Saccharomyces cerevisiae S288C: one gene and its partners. Changing the gene in region 1 together with any one later gene gives a genetic interaction. Each region holds a gene or a part of one and is shown on either strand. Other genes may lie near its edges.

Evidence for each region. Genes that interact genetically often act in the same process or in processes that back each other up.
Region 2: mutations in MET30 (region 1) and THI3 together harm fitness more than expected from each alone (negative genetic interaction), as found in Saccharomyces cerevisiae (2 studies listed by BioGRID).
Region 3: mutations in MET30 (region 1) and PSD2 together harm fitness more than expected from each alone (negative genetic interaction), as found in Saccharomyces cerevisiae (3 studies listed by BioGRID, with this or other methods).

Annotation. Positions count from the first base shown.
Region 1 is NC_001141.2:263,753-272,251, reverse strand, and holds MET30 (ubiquitin-binding SDF ubiquitin ligase complex subunit MET30), read right to left. Parts: upstream 3,602-8,499; coding exon 1,679-3,601; downstream 1-1,678. Other genes in the region: putative protein phosphatase regulator PIG2, read right to left, coding at 1-1,091; YIL046W-A (uncharacterized protein), read right to left, coding at 3,779-3,943; SYG1 (Syg1p), read left to right, coding at 4,429-7,137; aminophospholipid-translocating P4-type ATPase NEO1, read right to left, coding at 7,360-8,499. UniProt on the Saccharomyces cerevisiae protein: Substrate-recognition component of the SCF(Met30) complex, an E3 ubiquitin ligase complex that mediates the ubiquitination and subsequent proteasomal degradation of target proteins. Negatively regulates sulfur amino acids biosynthesis genes expression.
Region 2 is NC_001136.10:310,142-315,124, forward strand, and holds THI3 (branched-chain-2-oxoacid decarboxylase THI3), read right to left. Parts: upstream 2,331-4,983; coding exon 501-2,330; downstream 1-500. Other genes in the region: putative serine/threonine protein kinase MRK1, read right to left, coding at 2,810-3,903, 4,196-4,607. UniProt on the Saccharomyces cerevisiae protein: One of five 2-oxo acid decarboxylases (PDC1, PDC5, PDC6, ARO10, and THI3) involved in amino acid catabolism.
Region 3 is NC_001139.9:834,671-841,058, reverse strand, and holds PSD2 (phosphatidylserine decarboxylase 2), read right to left. Parts: upstream 3,918-6,388; coding exon 501-3,917; downstream 1-500. Other genes in the region: methionine--tRNA ligase MSM1, read left to right, coding at 1-235; LSO2 (Lso2p), read left to right, coding at 4,394-4,672; pseudouridine synthase PUS6, read left to right, coding at 5,156-6,370. UniProt on the Saccharomyces cerevisiae protein: Catalyzes the formation of phosphatidylethanolamine (PtdEtn) from phosphatidylserine (PtdSer). Plays a central role in phospholipid metabolism and in the interorganelle trafficking of phosphatidylserine.

The DNA of each region.
Region 1 (8,499 bases):
TTGTAAAGACCAACAATTCTTTTAGAGTTTCCAATAAACAAGTTGGCTCCTGATTTAGCAGAATTTGTTCTTGTTTCTAAATAATCGTCGTCATCGTTTATTAACAAATTCTTCAACCCGTGCGCAAGATGAGCTTGGTCTTTGTCTTGTTGCCTTACTAAACGGTTTATAGCGTCGTCACTATCATTGTCATTTTCAATATCACTGTCATCGTCACTTAGTTTAAACTTCTTTTTTTTATTTCTACGATTATTAGAATTTGTACCAAATAGGAATACACCCTTCGGGTTTTGTAGCCATGTATCTCCATATTCGTTTTGGTTGTTTTCAGATAGTAAATCTTCTATAGGTACGCTATCACTACCGCCATTAAGGGCACTTAGTCTCGTCAAAGGCTTATGCTTGAAATTCAGAACATCTTGTTGAACCATTTGTTTGCCAACATCTATGGGTTTCTCATTTTCATTGAACAGCTTTATTGGTAAAACACGATCGAAATGGACACTTTTACTTCTTTGCAATAGCCTAGTATCTACATGATCTAAATTGACATGTTTACTCTTAGAGCCAGTTTTGTTGAATATAGATTTGGGAGTAATGGGTAGGGACTTGGATCTTCTTTTTAATGAACTCTTAACCAGTTCTCCAGATTTCTTGTAAATGGGAGGTGAAGGATTACCATTTTCCTCGGATTCATACTGGAAATTATCATGTGATAGAGGAGAGATTTCGTCTTCCTCCTCGCCTAATTTACTGACGTCTTGATGATGTGCGTTAAAGTTCGCTCCAGAATTTATAAACGGGTGATGGGCATGAACTTGTTTCCCATTAAAATACATTCCCTTATTCATGTCCGTATTTCTTTGAAGCTCGTCCTGAGGTAATCTGTGCAGTTTTACATTAGATAGTCTCCTGGGCTTGTGCAAAAACTCCAGAGAGTTCAGCCTGGCAGGGTGCATGTGCATGCTCATACCAGCAAAAGTTCTTATATTCGCATTTATGTTTCCATAGTTATTGTTGTGGGCACTGTTATTAGGAAGATTTAAAGGTTCATCCATCAGTATATTTTGTGGTTGCGTGGTGGTGGCCATACGGATAAAAGCAATAATACTAGCTAGCTATATTATCTTTTTTTATTTATTATTAAGCTATTACCAAAGCTGGCGCCTCAACTGTTGGGTTCTTGTCTATTTTATGTATATTCTATATTTCAAGGATTACGGAATCGATAAGTATTCTATTATGTAATCGCCTTTATATACAATGGCCGTGCGCGTTTATATAATAAAGTACCTTCGCCCTTTGGATTTATTAGTACTGTTGAGGGAACAATATTGCAGATTATGGATCTTGTACGACATTTTATGCGTACGCCCTCTTCATCATCGCCGTCAATATAATAAGCTTTATCTTCAGTCCCCCCCTTGACATCCCCCTTAGCGTGGGAAGGGCTCCGTGGGGGAGTAATAGCATCTAATGGTCAAGAGTTTTATCGAGACGAAAAAGAGGAAGGAAAAAAACTGAAGATGGAAAAGGCTAGTGATACGCTAGCGATTTATTTTTTTCCTGGAAATAAAATAAATGTAAAATGCTATTATGTATTTTTCATTATATATGTAAGCATATATATTCGAGGTACTACGGATGTTTTTGACCAAGAAAAGACCACACACAGGTCCTAATCATTGAGATCGAATTTGTACATTTTTACGCACCCAAATTCATCACCACTAAAGCATTCTGAATCTCCAATACAAACACAAGCGATAGGGGCGACTTTATCACCCAAGGATTGTGTTTGTGTGTGCTGAGTTTCTCTTTGTAGTCTTCGACCGTTGAACGTGTGCATACACTTCCCGCTTTGCAAGTCCCAGACCTTAATGCTTCCGTCGTGAGAACCACTTATAATTCTGAAGTTGTCAGCGGCGATGTCCCAAACACCTTCCACGTGCCCAAACTGTGTTCTTATGCATTTACCGGTTTTGACGTCCCATAGTTTGATTGTGTTATCCAGTCCGCAAGATAGTAGATGTGTTGGATAAGGTATGTTTTCATCTAAGACAGTTTCTTGCTCGTTCGACGGTGTGTCTGATTCGTCTGCACCATCAGTCATTGTTGGGTCATCCTGCGGAGAGCTGCCATCAGAAGTGTTGTCGGTGGCTAGATTCTCTACATCCTTAATGGTAAGCGGTATGATCTTTTGCACCTGCCCTACATGACCCCTGAACACTTTTAGGCATGAATTGGTCCTGATATCCCACATTCGGATTGTGGTATCGTCACTGCAACTAAAACATGAAAAGCTTTTCGGATGCAATTTGACGCAATTAACCCATTCCGTGTGGCCTCTCAAGGTGTAGCATGTCCTGGACTCCACGTGCCATACCTTGACCGTCTTGTCAGCACTGCCGGAAACGATAACCTTCTGGTATGAATCTACGCTCAGAACGCTATCCGAGTGGCCTCGATACGTGGAAATGCATTCACCGGTTATGTAGTTCCAAACACGGATCGTCTTGTCGAGCGAGCCCGTAATCAGCTTTCTATCGTCAAAATATAATGTCTTGACGCCGTCCGAATGGCCGCTGAGCCTTCGTATTAGCTTCCCCGTGAATAAGTCCCATATACCTATGGTGGAGTCGTACGAGCCTGTGAACAAAAGCCTGTAGTTAAACTGGAGCGTTAACACACCATCCATGTGGCCCTTGAATTCCTGAATCCTGCAGTGGCCCTTTCTCCAGTTTGACTCCACTTTGAACCGTTCTCTGTAGATGACTTTCCAAGGTCGCGTAGTTTGCGTCTGGATATCTGCGTTGCTGCTAGATCCTGTACTATTCTGTTGTATCCGCGCACGTTTCATGTGCAAAAGAGGCAGCCCCCAGCCACAGTTGGGACATTTCCTGTCTATGTGCTGCTCGCACATGTGGTACCATACCCTGTCGTCATCCGCGAGCTTCTGCCACTTGCGGCACACTCTCGTGGCGTTGCAAAGAGATTGGCAATCCAGATAACTCAAGATCTTCAGCGACAGCTCCTGCGGCAGAATGCTGATGAAGTCGATCTTGATCATGTGTGTAACGAGTGACGAAATGTAGGAAAGCTGTGGGAAGCAACTCGTCGATAGGATCCCATCCAGAATCAGCTTCCGTATCTTGTCATTGGAATTGCTGTACTTCGAGATAATGTGGTGGATGTCGGATTGCTCCTGCAGGGGTAGCTTCGCGATATTAGCATTAATCTCTTGCGTTCGTTTCAAATCCTGCTTGTAGCACGCTGTATGAGTTGGTGAGAACTGAATGTCCGGGTTATGCCGATAGCAGAACTTGGTGAAGTTATATTCTGGCAATGGCTGTACCCTAGTGCCGCTGTCGTTTGTCGCCAAATCGGGTGATGACGATGGCGACCTCGTCGCCATCGTCATCTTCTTCTTACCCGATGATCCTTGTGCCAAATCATCGCTACTGCCCGTAATAAGCAATCTCTTTAATGGTGGCATCATCGCCGTATCTGTCATTTCACTGCTGTTATTACTATTACTATTGTCAAGGTCGTCCTTGTCCTTGTCCTCGAAACTCATCATCCTTTGCCTCTCTCTCCTCATGCCCTTCTCCTTTATAAATCACCAAACACACACCCCTTTACCGATACTCAAGCCTCTTCTCTAAACTTCTTTAACTGCAGTCTTCTCTTACGATACAGACTGCAAGGTTGCTTTCTTCTTACGCTGATGAAAAAAAATAAAATATCTCCGCGCAAACTGTGGCTTCCCGATCACGTGCTACAACCTCATTTCTACATTAAAACACACACATTGTACCACACACGCCAACACACATATACACGCACAATCACTCCCACACATATACAAACACACGACATATGAATATATATAGTACACGCGCCAATCCATTAGTTTTTTTTTTGGGATACAGACGCACATCATGGCTTCTTGCCCGTTTAGTGCAATACAATAGCCTTGTGTTGCCGTGCCACACCCTGCAGTTATCTCTCCCAGATCTGTCTTTCCATCCCCTTAGTTGCTATCGCTGCAGCCATTTGTTCAAAATCGTTATCACCATCATTCATCATCACTTATCATTATCATGCACATGCTGCCAGCCGCTGCGGCTGGCTATGTGTTGGTAGTCATCGAGTCGGAAGCCCATCATCGGTGTGGGTGTGAGGCATTTCTAGAACGGATTTTGGGTGCCGTTTGTCACGTGGGACGGGATGCGGTTTTATTTGACGCAAGTTCCATGAACATCATCGCACGGTTTCGCAACAGTTTGGGACTGTACATGTACAAGATGGGTTTTCTCCTTTGCTTTTTTGTTTTGTTTTGTTTGATTTGATGGTTGGTAGTTATTTTTTTTTTTTTTTTAATTCAGTTGGCAGCAATGGAAGGGCTTTACCATAGCACCGTATCAGATGAAGTTTGCTGACCATCTAACCGAGTCTGCCATCCCGGAATGGAGGGACAAATATATTGATTATAAGGTCGGCAAGAAGAAGCTTCGCCGCTACAAGGAGAAGCTGGATGCCGAAGAAGAGCAATCCAGCTCCTACCGGAGCTGGATGCCCTCTGTGTCGGTATACCAGACTGCATTTCAGCAGAGAGAGCCCGGCAAAAGTCGCAGCGACGGAGACTATCGCTCCGGACCTGCGTTCAAGAAGGACTATTCTGCTTTGCAGAGGGAGTTCGTTGCTGACTTCATTGAAGACTGGTTGATCTCGTTCCAGTTGAGTAAGTGTAACGAGTTTTACCTTTGGTTGCTAAAGGAGTGCGACAAGAAGTTTGAGGTTTTACAGTCGCAACTGCACTATTACTCGCTGCAGAAGAATTATGAGCGCGACAACTTGAACCGGTCTAGTTCGAATGTTGACATGTCCACGAGTCTATATGCGGCAGGGCTTGCTGGTCGTTCTGACTCCAGGGTCAATAGCATCGACAGCGATAGCCGGTCTGTTATGTATGGGTCAATGCCCTGCACCAAAGAGGCCAAGAAGCCGCGTTTGTCGCTGCTAGCGTACTGTCAGAAAGTTCTTAAGGACAATAGGCTGCTGCCATCGTGGCCCAAACGTGGATTTTCTCTGCTACAGGACTTGAGACAGGATGCGTCCTCAAGAGGCCGCGAGACGTTTGCTTTTGGCGCTTCTTTTCTGGAGACTATGACGACAACCCAGGCTAGAAACTTGTTAAGCAACGCTATAATCGAGTACTATCTGTACTTGCAATTGGTCAAATCGTTCCGGGATATCAACGTCACCGGGTTCCGTAAAATGGTCAAGAAATTCGACAAAACGTGTCACACAAGAGAGCTGACCACGTTCATGTCGTACGCCAGGACCCACTACACCCTTTTCAAGCACGCGGATGCCAACGTGCAGTTGGTGGCACAGAAGATGCAACAAATAACCAGTTCGCAACCAACACCCACTTCGGAGCTCTCTTCCGCCCAAAGAGACAAAGAGCCCATCACTTGGTTGGAAACGCAGATCACCGAGTGGTTCACCACTGCGTTGACCAATTCGCCTAAGGACAGGAAGCACAATACCCATAAGTTGAAGAAATTGACCATTCAGTACTCTATCTCCGAACAAATGGTTCATAGAAACAACAGATCGATTGTGCAGATGCTGGTTGTCGGGCTGGGCATAGGTGTGTCAATGACTTTGATCACTTACACTTTGTATTTGGGCATTAGCTCTGAAGAAACGTCATTTACGCACAAGATTCTGTTCCCACTGTGGGGTGGTTGGTACATGGTTTTGTTGATCGCGTTTCTCTTTCTTGTTAATTGTTTTATCTGGCATAGAACCGGGATTAATTATAGATTTATTATGCTGGGTGAGATTCAATCCAAGAATGGTACGCAATTTTTCAACAATGATTTTGCCACGAGTAAAATTCCGCTCAAGTTGTATTTCTTGACATTCTTCATAGTACCTTGTGCGGTCTGTTCCATGTTAAGTTTCGCTTTGGAGAAGCTCACACCCTTAGGCTTTTTATATATTGGTATTGTGTCTTTCTTATTTTTATGTCCCTCTGGTCTAATTCCATATTGGGACAAAGTTGTACACACTAGAAAATGGCTGGTGGTTACTCTTATTAGACTGATGATGTCTGGTTTTTTCCCTGTTGAGTTTGGTGATTTCTTTTTGGGAGATATTATTTGTTCGTTGACGTATTCTATTGCCGATATTGCCATGTTCTTCTGTGTTTACTCTCATACGCCCAACAATCTATGTGGCTCTTCACATTCCAGAGCAATGGGTGTTTTATCATGTTTACCAAGTTATTGGAGATTCATGCAATGTTTACGAAGATTTGCTGATTCCGGTGATTGGTTCCCTCATCTTTTGAACGCGGCGAAATACACTTTGGGTATAGCGTATAATGCCACACTTTGTGCTTACAGATTGTCAGACCGTTCTGAACAAAGGAGAACCCCTTTTATCGTGTGCGCTACGTTGAATTCGATCCTTACTTCCGCCTGGGATTTAGTTATGGATTGGTCCTTTGCTCACAATACTACTTCTTACAATTGGTTGCTAAGAGACGACTTGTATTTAGCTGGTAAAAAAAATTGGGAAAACGGCAGTTATTCATTCAGTAGGAAGTTAGTTTATTACTTTGCTATGATTTGGGATATCCTCATTAGATTTGAGTGGATTGTATACGCAATTGCTCCTCAAACAATTCAGCAGAGTGCTGTGACGTCGTTTATATTGGCCCTTTTGGAGGTTTTAAGAAGATTCGTTTGGATCATCTTCAGAGTCGAAAATGAACATGTTGCCAATGTTCACCTATTCAGGGTTACCGGTGACGCTCCTCTGCCTTATCCAATTGCGCAGGTCGGTGATGATTCTATGGATAGTAGTGATTTGGGTTCAAAAGCCTTTTCATCACTTAACGACATACCTATCACGCCTTCACATGACAATAATCCTCACAGTTTTGCCGAACCTATGCCCGCTTACCGTGGGACTTTCAGAAGAAGGTCCTCCGTGTTTGAGAACATTTCGAGATCCATTCCTTGGGCACATGCAACTGATTTCCAAAGACCAACTGTCAATACCGTGGATGATAGGTCTCCCGAAACAGATAGTGAAAGTGAAGTGGAAAGTATTATGTGATTTGGGCTGGACATGATATTTGCTATTGTTAACCTGCTAAAGATGCTTATTTGAGGAAGTACAAAGAAAAGAAAATAAAAAGTAAAAGAAAAAAAATGTAACAAAATAATATTATGCATAATCTATATCTTCTTTGTAAAAATAAGAATTTATATTTTGAAATATGATAGATTTTTTTAAGATAATCCGTTGAAGCAACAAGAAAAATCCAAACCAATTGAATTATGGAGTGGCAAACTCTTGCACTTTTGCATAACTTGGAGGATGTAGCCTTCTATAAATTGCCTTTGCCGTCCAGACAGGAAAGATCGAGATGAGTAATATAACTAAAAGTCCAGCATAGTAATTTACGGTAGTCATATAACCTAAATCAAAATAATCGCCAAGAAATGGAACCGATACAATGTAAAATAGTAAAGTAGCAATTTCAGTGACGAGCATTGTTTTATTCCATGTGTAGATTTCTAAGGCAACCATTATTAATTCATTTACAACCAAAGCAGTGAAGCTGATAGCAACCATCCTTGTGAAATCAGTATCTAATAAACTCGTAAAGGCCTGAGAAAATAATTGAATTACAGAACCTTGGAATAGCGATAATAGAACCCAAACAAAGAACGTCTTATATGATAAGCTCTTACCTTCAGTCAATTCTTTGTACAATTCTGGGTATATTTTAGTCAATGACTCTTCGATATCGTGATCAAGAGTTAATGAAAAGACTGGAGCCATTGTATAGCAGGTAGCATAACCGACCATTAACCAACCTTGATAAAGAGCAATAGGTTCGAACAACGAACAGATGGAATATACCGCTTGGCAAATTGCAATGATTAAACCTCTATGCATGACAAATTGAGCCAATTTAGCAGATCTTTTGTAAGAGTTCCTACCATGCCATAATAGTAATTCGGTGAGGTGACAAAATTGCGTTATAGAAAAATCAGCAGCTAAAGAAGCTTGTTTACCTTCTTTACCCACAATCCCTACGCCAACATCTGCACATTGAATCATACTAACATCGTTACCTCCATCACCAATACAGCATACCCTTTTGCCCGTCATTTTACGAATTACCAAAGCAACGTCTGCCTTCTGTTGAGGTGTACAACGGCAAGCAATAACAGTGGGTAAATGAACCACGACATCAAAAAATTCCTGTTCGTAATGTTTCAAAAACATTCCCAGGGATTCACCATCTATTAAAAGACAAGCATTTCTATTGATTTTTAGATACTCCAGCTGATTGAATGCACCTTCCGGTCTTGTGACTTTTGTTATCGTATGAACATATTGGCCACGAGATATTAATTTTGCACTTATGGAAACACAACGAGCAGTTTCAACTTTATCACCTGTCAG
Region 2 (4,983 bases), on another chromosome or scaffold:
GATAATCGGTTTAAGCTGTTGTATTGGACAAAGCGGACTATTTCTTTATTCTTTTGATTTCTTTTACTAAAAATTATTCAGAACAGAAGAGATCGCAAACTTTATAAAGATATTTTTTTCAAATACCATGTAAAGGCATTCTTTAAAAAATGAAAAAAAAAAAATCATTACAAAGTTGCGTGGTATCATCTTACGATATTCGTACCTCACGATATGTAGCAGACATAGATGAGGCTACAGGGTTAAGGCTTCTTTTAAATGAAGTATTAGACAAGATACTAGAGTTTAATAAGATCACGTATGGTAATGTTATTTCTTGCTGTGACAATTTTAGAAACAGAAGGCATGTGAGTTTTCATATTACATTAATTAAATGAAATTTTTATAAGCTAGGCTACTGTTCAGCGAATAAATATTTTCAAGCCAGTTTTATGAGGCAGGAAACGTCGCATTCGAGCGGTAATCATGAGGGTCCCTGGTAGTAGGGCGGAGAGATCAGATCAGTATCCAACTTGATTTTTTTTTAGAAGTGGTTGGAATTCTGGAGTTGGCGTATTTACTGCGCTAGAATTTTCGTTCTCCTCTTGCACTTGTTTGCTCTGTTCTTTTTCTACCACCCACCTGTCAAGCAGAGCCTGTGGAACATCCCTTGGTGGTAGCATAATCTCTATCATCCGAATTTTGTCATTGGTCGCAAAGTTTGGGTCACTGATCATGGATCTGAATTCTCCAACAGTAATAATTTTTTTCGTTTCGTAGTTCGTGCAACCAAATACTCGCAATAATCCCAAGTAGTTCCAAGGTTGGATATCGTAATAACTAGCATCTGACCTGTGATGCAAAAACCTGTCCACAGAGTAACCTTGGTTATTCATCACAAAAATATAAGGTGTCAATCCCCACTTAACAATTGTGGATAATTCTTGAACTGTCAATTGGAAAGCACCGTCACCCATAAACAGAATAACTCTATGTTTAGTTGCGGGGAATTTATCCTTGTTTATCTCTTGAACAGCAAATTCTGCCCCAAGACACGCCCCCATTGTATATCCGACAGATCCCCAAAGAGCTTGCGAAATACCTAGTGTATTTACCGGAAATCTGGTCTGGTTAACTCCAAATGCAGAAGCACCAGTTTCTGTTATGATTATGTCACCTGGTTGGAACCAATGGGATATTTCATTCCAGACCCATTCTTGTCTCAAGAGGACATTTCCTGCTGGGTAAGGTCTTGGAACCATCATACTGGGTTGTTCGCTTGGTTGGTAAGACAGTTTAGATTCATCAAGATTTGCTAATATTTTCTGTAGTAGTAATTTAATGCTCAAGTCAGGATATGTGGCATTTTTCAATTTCACAGATGTAGAATATAGTAGCGCACAATTCTTAGTTTTATATTGGAAGTGGAAAGTTGACGTGCTGAATTCGGAGAGCATGCAACCAATGACGATGATAAAATCGGCAAAATCAACTACTTCTCTTACTTCTGGGGCTGATATCGAGCCCGTGAATACGCCCCCAAATTGCGGGTCTGTTTCGTTTACTGTACCCTTACCCATAGGTGTAACAAAAACTGGAAATTTAAGCCTATTACAAAGCTCTTTAGTCTCCTCGATTAAATTCTGTCGACTAGTACATGCATCTACGATGATTGCCGGATTCTGGCTTTTGTATATAAAACTCAATATTCGAGAAATAACTTCTTTCTCTACGTCTGGGTCGTTTTTATGCAATTGTAAATCCAGAGGTGTATTAAGCCTTGCTGATTCAATCGGGAGATTTACCTGGTTGACAGGCATGCCCATGTATACTGGCCTCTGTTCTATCCAAGCCTTTTTGATGCACTTATCGACTTCGTCGGCACATAATTCAGAGTCAATAATCAATGTTGTATAGCATGCTACATCACTGGCTATTCTATGAAATACCGTGAAATCACCATTGCCCAGAGTATGATGCAGTAGTAGTTGTTTCGTTTGTGCACTTGTTGGCGGCATACCCACTATGTGAAGTATTCCTACATGTTCAGCGTAAGATCCGGCCACGCCATTGATTGCCGATAATTCGCCTACACCAAAGGTTGTTATGAGACATCCCAAGCCTTTTAGTCGTGAGTATCCATCTGCTGCGTAGGCAGCATTTAACTCATTAGAATTACCGGCCCATCGTAAGTTCGGAATGTTGTATAGTTTATCCAGCAACGGCATGCTAAATTCTCCGGAGAGTCCAAATATGGTATGTATGTTCAGCTGGTTGAGCCGATGGAAAAGATAATCTGATATTGCTATACACTTCGGCAGTGCATATCTCTGTGTATAGCTAGAATTCATCTTCAGAATGACGACGGTGCGTTTTAGTAGTTATGTTCTTTCAAACCTTTTTTTTTTCGTTTTATTATATTTTACTCTTTTCTACACAATATCGATAATGAATTACGAATTTGGTGCTTACCAAAAGGTTCAAAGATTACTATGCCGTAAAGTATGAAGAAAGGGAAATTTGTTCAATGCATCGCAAGTTTCATCAATTTTTCTTCTATGTGAGTGCTTTTAGCAACTGTTTGCAATAAAGAAACATAGGAGTTCTTACAGTTGCCAAGGTTCTGCATATGCAGTCATACGCTTGTGGCCGGTGAAAATTTGGGCGACCGCTGCCTAGAAAAGCAGCAAGTGAAATTAAATGAAGGAAAGAGGACGGTCGTTATACGTTAGGTTAACTGCATACGCTGTGTATCTGTGTGCAGAAGACAAATGCATATTATGTAATAGTAATGATACAATAGACTAAGAAATTTGAAGGATGAGATATATCACAAAGACGATGAAGGTGCAGAAACAAAATGTTTCAACCGTTCTTCAATGGCGGGCCGTTCCACAAGTGGAACATGGCCCAACTCAGTTTCCACGTCGAAGTCAAATATACGCAGGTTTTGTGCTTTTACGTAAGTGTCGGTATCACAACGTTTGGTTTCGTCAAAATAGCTTGATAATAGACATTGTAGAGGTACCAATCTTTCGCAAGGGTGATACTTCAGAGTTTTTGTTAACAAGTCAAGAGTATCGGGATCTTCGGCTTTGAATATTTCAGCCAAAGTAATGGGCTTGATATTGGGGAAAACATGGTCTTCATAATTTGGGTTCATTCCTGAAATTTCATCCTTTGTGGGTATGCCCATTATCTTAATAATTTCCACCAACTGATCTATACCGCTTTCACCAGAGAACAAGGGCTTGCCCAAAAGCAACTCAGCAATGACACAAGCGCTTGACCACACGTCGACCTGGTTTGAGTAATTAGTGGCACCAAACATGAGTTCGGGAGCCCTATAGTACCTTGAACAGATGTAAGACACATTAGGCTGATCCGGTTTCAAGCATTTGGCACTGCCAAAATCGCAAATCTTGAAAGAAAAAGTTGTCGGATCCACCAGTAGGTTTTGCGGTTTTATATCTCTGTGACAGATTCGAGGAACGTTATGCAAATAGTTTAAAGCTTTGAATAGTTGGTATGCATAGAATTTAATTTCAACACGCGGCATCTGCATTTTCAAATTAACAAAATGACGAAGCCTTTGGTATAACGACTGAGGCATGTAGTCCAAAACCAGATTGAGGTATACTTCATCTTCTTCGTCCTTTTCGTAAAAGTAGTACTGTAGACCCACAGTATTTGGATGGCACAACATCTTCATAGTTTCGAGCTCCCTATTTTTATATCTTCTATCTTGTAGTACTTTCTTTATGGCAACTTTTTGATTGGTCTCAATTATTACAGTCGTGACTACAACACCAAATGAACCATGGCCAACCACTTCTGTCGTAGGATAACTGATGTCGATAGTTCCTCCATGATTTTTTCGGTCGACATCAGTTTTGCGGTCATGTTTATAAACCCGTTTATGAACTAAACCTATGTTAGTATATAATGTGATTCCCATAAAAAATGGTAGTTGATGTAATATGGAAAAATGTTCCGCTATGCTTCCTGATATTTCGTAAGCAAGTTTCTAAGATTAGGGATGCAATTTCATAAATCTTTATTTTACACTCTCTTTTTTTTTCTTTTAATTATTTTTTTTTGTGTCGCGATACTATGAACTGACAGTAGTTCCACTATTCACTCCGGTTGTGACGAAAGAAACATTCCTCCACTGGCAAGAACATAAAAAAAAAAAATAAAAAATAATTATACATACTAGTCCTTTCCTTGGTTTTAATATACCTATAATCAAAATTAATCATTTTCTCAACCTTCTCTTTACTAAGCTTGCTACTAATATTTTCGTGCTTATTGGCAACTTTTCCATCTGTTTTACTGTCCGAGATATTGGCGTGTTCAATGTGATCAACTGCAATACCCTCCTTTCCCCCGTCTATCAGTTTAGATATTATAAGATTCTCTATGTCGTTGATGTACTCTGAACTGTTATTGAAATTAGGTACAGTATGGTGAACTTGAACGTCGCTTACCTTTTTGATTGTATCAGGCTTTCTCTTCTTCTTTTCTAGGGCAGTATTACTCTGTATAGATGTCTTGTGTTTTAGCTGAAGGTTATCTGAGTTATTGAAGGAAATCTTTCGCACTAGGCTTCTCAACACATCGGTCATAGTAGACTATTTTACAATTTTCACCTCTTCAATCTTGAGATTATTTTCAAGTCCCTTCCCCGCAGTATGGTAGAAACGGAAATACTTGTATGCAGCAGGGTTCTTATAGCACCAGTATTTTTTAGAGAATGCTTATTTAAGTTGCAAGATATAGCGACAAAAGGAGAACCAATCTTTCTCAGATCCGCCGCTGGAACAGCTCTCCGGTAGATCCTAACGGATAATGCTGCCCCTGGTTAGTTCCTCATCGGACGACTTTGCTCCCAGGGGCGGCCTTTGTCTTTCTCTTTTGCAGAATCAACTCTATTTTCCCCACCCCCCCGCTTTTTTTTTTTCATGTTCCTTTACCAATCTTTGAAAAATCACGAGATGGTGC
Region 3 (6,388 bases), on another chromosome or scaffold:
TTTGGCTATGGAAACGTCTAGAATCCTCTCCATTTTATGCCAATCCATTATACCATCTCTCTCACAAAGTTTCCTAGATCGTATTGATGTTTCAAAGGAGAAAAGGACTATAAATTATGCTAGATTGGGTTCCGATAAAACATATGGAAAGCAATCTAACAAGAAAGGCCGAGAAGTACCTTTGAAAAAAATTCCATTCAGGTTGCAAGAGGAACAAACGAATATGAGGTCATGAAAAAGGTACTTACTGCACTGTAAATATTAACTTAAGTATTATATCGTATTTTCTGCAAGAGGACTAGGAATATAGTTTCTTTTGTTACTAATAAAAATGCATATTTTTCATAGGAAATTTCCTGGTATGAAACCATTGCTTTCATTATCAACGATGACTTGTTTGTACACGCTATAGTCTATAATAAAGTCTGAGGGAGATTGTTCATGTTTTTTTTTTTTTTCCATTTTGGTAACCACTAACTACAGCCAATTTTTCGGCGGCTTCATAGCCCAGCAAAATCTTTATTCATCATTTCCCGTAAAGTATGATATTCCCATGTTACATTTCCTGTACTCTTGGCATTTTCATCGCTAACACTAATTGTTCTCTTGATCCGTTCAATTTTCTTTGGGTCGTCTACTTTAATACGGATTCTCTTCAATTCATTCACATTTGATGTGTGTCCTATACTCATCCCGACTTTGACTAACGTTTCAATGCGTTCTGAAGAGTTTTTCACAAGGTCGGAATCAAACATGAAGTTGTTGTGCGGGATAATGATTATTATAGTAGAACCTCCAAATTTAAAATAGCCCAGCTCCTGTCCACTCTCAACTACATCGTTTTCTTTGCAGGTCAATAGTATGGATCCAACCATCATTGCACCAATAGGTATGTACAGTAGTTTGCCAAATTGAGGAGAATCGATGGGGATAATAACTCTGATATTTTCACCAAAGACGTCTAACTCACTACGAACGGCCATTGGATTTACAGTATAATACTCTCCATCCACATATACAGGTTTTCCAATCGTACCATTACATGGTGAGTGAAACCGGTGATAATCTTGTGGCGCCAGTCTAAATATACCAATACTGCAGTTATTGTCATTAAATGTTTCCGGATTATAGTTATTGGCTAGTTTCTTAATAGAAAATTTTCTTCCTTTCACCCATATTTCCTTCGATTCTTGTATAGTTGGGAACACTGTGCATCTTGAATCTGCTGGTGAAAACAATATTTCTTTATTATTACTTTCAGGCAGCCGGCTTCCTGGTTTTAGTTTCCTGTAAAAAAATTCATTGAATGTTTTAAAATCTTTATCTCGGCATTGTGAAAGGTCTAGCGAGTGAAACTTTATGAAAGGTTCAATTTGTTTGGCAGATGCAGTGCTGTCAAATTTTTTGCCTTGCCTGATTGATAAAGTCTTCAAGAGGGATCTAAATTTTTTAGACTCGGGACTTTTACCATTGTATATAATCCTCATTCCCAACTTTACGTGTGCGCTTATTTTTTCCTCAATAATTATCCCTGTGTCTCGGTCTTGAACCAAGATGTTTGCATTGTTAGATCCCAAAGCATATTTACCATAAGTTAATTTTATCAAAACCTTAGAGAACCATCTCTTGGATGCAAATGCAGATGAGACGTACGACGGCTTTAAAGTTTTGTGTTCTTTTGAAAACGTACATATGGCAAAATGGGTTATCAAGTCATTTTCTAGAACCAGTTTAGAACGTCTAGCATTTCTAGTTGGTTTGCATGAACGCATGCATCTAGGACATGTCCAGATGCGTTTAAAATTAGTGGATTTTCTCCATGACTGTAGCCCTTCAACTAATTGTGATCTAGTAATGCTCTGGCCGGCCCAAGCAGATTTATTGAAATGCTGAAAGAGTTCAAAAGAATCGGCCATCGTGAATGAACCAAGACGTTCAAGATAGAGCATTACTTGAATAATGTCGAGTCTCTCTAAGTTGACTGATGTGTCAACAGCTTCTTTCCAAAAGCTCTTTTTTAAGAACGGATATGAAACATATTTGAAGCTCGAATATAATACCGGTTGCTTAGGAGCATGTGCTGGCTCAACAGTGAGATCCAATGGTATCTCATAAGGTATCCATTCGTTTTCATGTTGTTGCTGTTGCAGCATATCAAACCAAGCCAGTTCGCATTTTGCAACGTCATCATTGAATGAAAATGAGTCTTTATCAACAACTTTGATACTGAAAGCAAAATTCGTTTCATGGGGAAAAACTTCGAAAGCGGCATATTCATTAAATTCTGGGTTTAAAGTATGTTTTCTCCAAGATGTCTTGAATACTCTTCTACCAAACGAAATAACGATAAATGGATCCATTTCATAATTAGTCTTGGACAACCGATTCCTTAATGCAGGTAAATTTTTGATAGCCCCAATATGCATAAATACTACCCCCATCGCATGTTCCTTTTTCGATATAAAAAAGTTACTTTTTGCTCTTCTGTATAAGTAATTTGCATATGATTTATTATGTTTACCCCTTTGCAGGTGTAAAAGCCGACTCCCAATGTATTCTTTTGATTGAAAATCAGAATCTTCACGCTCATCCTCATTATATATATCAAACTCCTCATCACTTTCCTGTTGGTTTTCAGATTCTTCGTCATCCACTGATGTTATGTCATTTTCCGACACTGCAGGTAATTTTGCAACATCTTCTGGTTCTACGATATCATATTCATCTAAAGCTGTTATCATTGAAGATAGACTGATACGGGTATCTTCGTCGATGTCATGCACATTTATGTCTGGCACATTTGGATGATCTGCTTCTTCAAAATCATTTAGAATATCTAGTTCTTCATCATTTAGCGAAACAACCTCAGATATAGAGTCGAATATAGTATCATTGTCTATATCGTACCTCCTCTCCGTACAAATGCTGCCGCTGCTATTCATATCTTCAATAGATTCCTCAGCATCTATTTCATCCTCGGCATTGACCTCTTCATCGTGGGCTAGATCAGTATCGCTATATGGTTTCTCGCGTCGTATTTCATTTCCACTAACAGCTGAACTATTGCTCAACATATCTTCTAGTGGAGGTGGCAAAGAACTAGAAGATCTCATGCGGGCCTTATTTCTATCTATTCTGCCCAAGTAAGTGTTCAACTCATTTCTCCAAGCATTGAAAGCCTGAAAAGTCGGGGTTCTTTTAACGTTACATTCTAGCTTAAATCCAAGCAAAATATCGCCCACTAGAAAGTTGCAGTTCAAGGAATCTTGGTCTTTCCCTCCTTTCATATCGTATAGATGGTACCGCTGAGCTTCAATTGAAAATTTATAGCTCGTCGTGGTGTCCTTCCTCTTGAATAAATCCAGTAATGAAATTTTTGCTTCACCCAAATATAGATAGCTATTAATCCTATTTTTGTGTGTGGACCCGGGACCTGTTGTTGAGAGAGAAGAGGAAGAATGTGAAGGGGCCGGTGTAGCTGAAGATGATACTGAATTAATTGATGTTGAAGTTTGATTACCTTTGGACGTAACATTCAAATTTCTCGACGAATGAGAGTGAGAACTTAGCCCTGAATTTGACAGTGTCGATGAAGATGTATTTGCAGTGGTTGTCCTTGGTCTACTGGGGGTAGTAGGGGGAGCTCCGGTTGGTAGGGCGTCGTATACTATAATCCTTAACCATTCAGATGTTGGATTTCTCGGAAGTTTGATCCTCAAGGTTTGATTCCAGTGTGTATTTGAGTTCTTGAGCTTGTTCGTCTTTTGACTATAAAATGTATTAGTGGTAACAAAACATACCGGGTTACAATTGAATGTCTTCAAGGCTTCAATATTTTCAGCTTGAATGACATGAATTTTTAAAATTAGCGTTGGCTTCTTGTTCTTGCCTCGCTTTCTGCCCTTAATAATCCTCATCTTCGTCGTTGGATGCTCCTGAAAATCGAGGATTCTTTACCAATTGATACAGCATCAACCACTTTGGGCTAGTTTTAGCATCAAATTGGAATAGTTGTCATATATAAGAAGAATTCCTTGAAGTAGCACATGCGTTAGGGCTAGGATCTCAAGTTTCCAAGAGTTTGACATGTGCCCTGCTTTTTTGTCTTTCTCCTTCTTCCAAACCTCATTTTAAAGTAACATAACCTTTGTATTTTTCATATTAGCCCTTAGTTTTTTTTTACCCTAAAAAAATTTTTTTTTTTTTCTTTGAGTCGTGAAAGCTTTTTTTTTCCAGTTAAAGACCCCTCAAAATGAAAAACTTGTATAATGTTTAAAATAAAGCTGAATAAGTTGAAACTCAAGTTTATATTTAATAGGTAAAAGAATTTATCAATTGAGCACAAAACCTGCCTATACAGGAAATAATAGAATAGCAAAGAGGAAGTAAAAAGATGGGTAAAAGATTTTCAGAATCCGCCGCAAAGAAAGCAGCTGGCTTAGCAAGAAAAAGAGATCAGGCACATGCTAAACAAAGAGCACAAATGGAGCAGCTAGAAGCGGAGGAAGCTTCTAAATGGGAACAAGGTTCGAGGAAAGAGAATGCCAAAAAATTAGAGGAAGAGCAAAAAAGACAAGAAAAAGCAAGAGCTAAAAAGGAGCGCGATGCGTTGCTAACCGCAGAGGAGGAGCAACTGGGCAAGGGTGGCAAGGGTAAAAGAAAAATGAAATAAATTTGAAGAATCTTAGCCTTATAGCGGCTAATAATTGCATATGATAAAGTCATTCCCACTTTATCTCCATAAACATAAAAACGCAAGACAAATAACGACAATAAAAGTAACAGTGGTAATAATAATACTTCTGTATGAGGATGCTTATCTTTTGCGGGTTGAGTACAAAAATACACATGGTAAGAAATCACTGTTCAACGTTATAAGAATAAAGAGGGACGAGGAAGGATAATGCAAGTGTAGTTTACAGTAAAAAGAATGACTTTATGGTACTAATGGTATGAATAGTTGAAATTATGTACATTAGATTTGCATATGTATGTATATATAGCTTGCTGTCATACAAGAAGATTGATAACAATGATAAAAGTTAATGAAAAATTTACTTTTTTTCTTTCATTAAAAGGCAAATAAATGTTTCTTGTGAAAACTTTATTGACGATTGCTCGAGACAATCAGTGGGCAAAAGGATGATTGTCAAGTATGTCAACTATCAAAGTTATTGAGGTATATACACAGAATGGACTGAGAAAGGTACGGCCCTATTATAACAGAAGATCAGCGTTCGTGAAGGGGCGCTGGTTGGGTAAGTTACTAATAGACGTTCTCGTTAGTGAATTTAAACTTCGCCCAAGAGCTTATTATTTGGACCAAATAAGGAAAGGCACATATAGGTTGATCCGAGATGGTGTGCCGCTGGTACCAGATCATCTCATGACTACCATAATCAAGAATCATGATGTTTTAGAAACAACTACGCATAAGCACGAACCGCCGGTAAAACAATGGTGTAGCCAGGAAGTTGAAGCGGAGGATTTACCTGGCAGAATAGCGGGATTCAATATTGTTTTTGAAGATGAGAGTATCCTCGTCATTGATAAACCCAGTGGTATACCAGTGCATCCAACCGGTCAGTTTTACCAGAACACAATTACTGAATTACTGAAGTTACATGGTGTAGATGCTCTTCCTTGTTATCGGTTAGACAAGATCACATCAGGCTTGTTGATATTGGCCAAGAACAGTCAGAGTGCGGGGGAAATCCAGAAGAGTATTCGTTCAAGAGATATGATTAAGATCTACTTGGCAAGGGTCAAGGGAAGATTTCCTCACTCCGAATTGATATTGGACAATGAAAATGCGGCGGAAACGACTTTTGAGGACACTTCCAAAGTTACAGTGGAAATGACACCCATATATTCTATCGATCCAAAGAGACAGTTTCCAGTTGGTTTATCGACATCGAAGGATGCTATTACCAAGTTCTACCCAATAAGATACTTCTCTCATGCTGATGAAACTGTCGTCGCTTGTAAGCCAATAACTGGAAGAACACACCAAATTCGAATCCATTTAGCTAGGCTCGGTCATCCCATCGTCAACGATAGTGTTTATTGTTCGCATATTACAAAATACCCCGAAAGGCTTAAGTTTATAACTCAGTTTCCTAGATGGGAGAATCAGCAGGATTTAGATGCTGAGGAATTGAAAGTGAGGTTTCAAAAATTTGTCGATGAGACAAAAAATAATTGTCGGACAATGGAAACATTTTGTCCTGAATGTCATACTGTTGATTTAAAGGATCCTGTGCTATCAGACCTAGAATTATGGTTGCATGCTTGGAAGTATGAGGAGATTAATGGCAAATTCAAGTTCAAAACAGATTTACCAAAATGGGCACAATTGGACAATAGTTAAACTTTTTTTTGAGCGAAC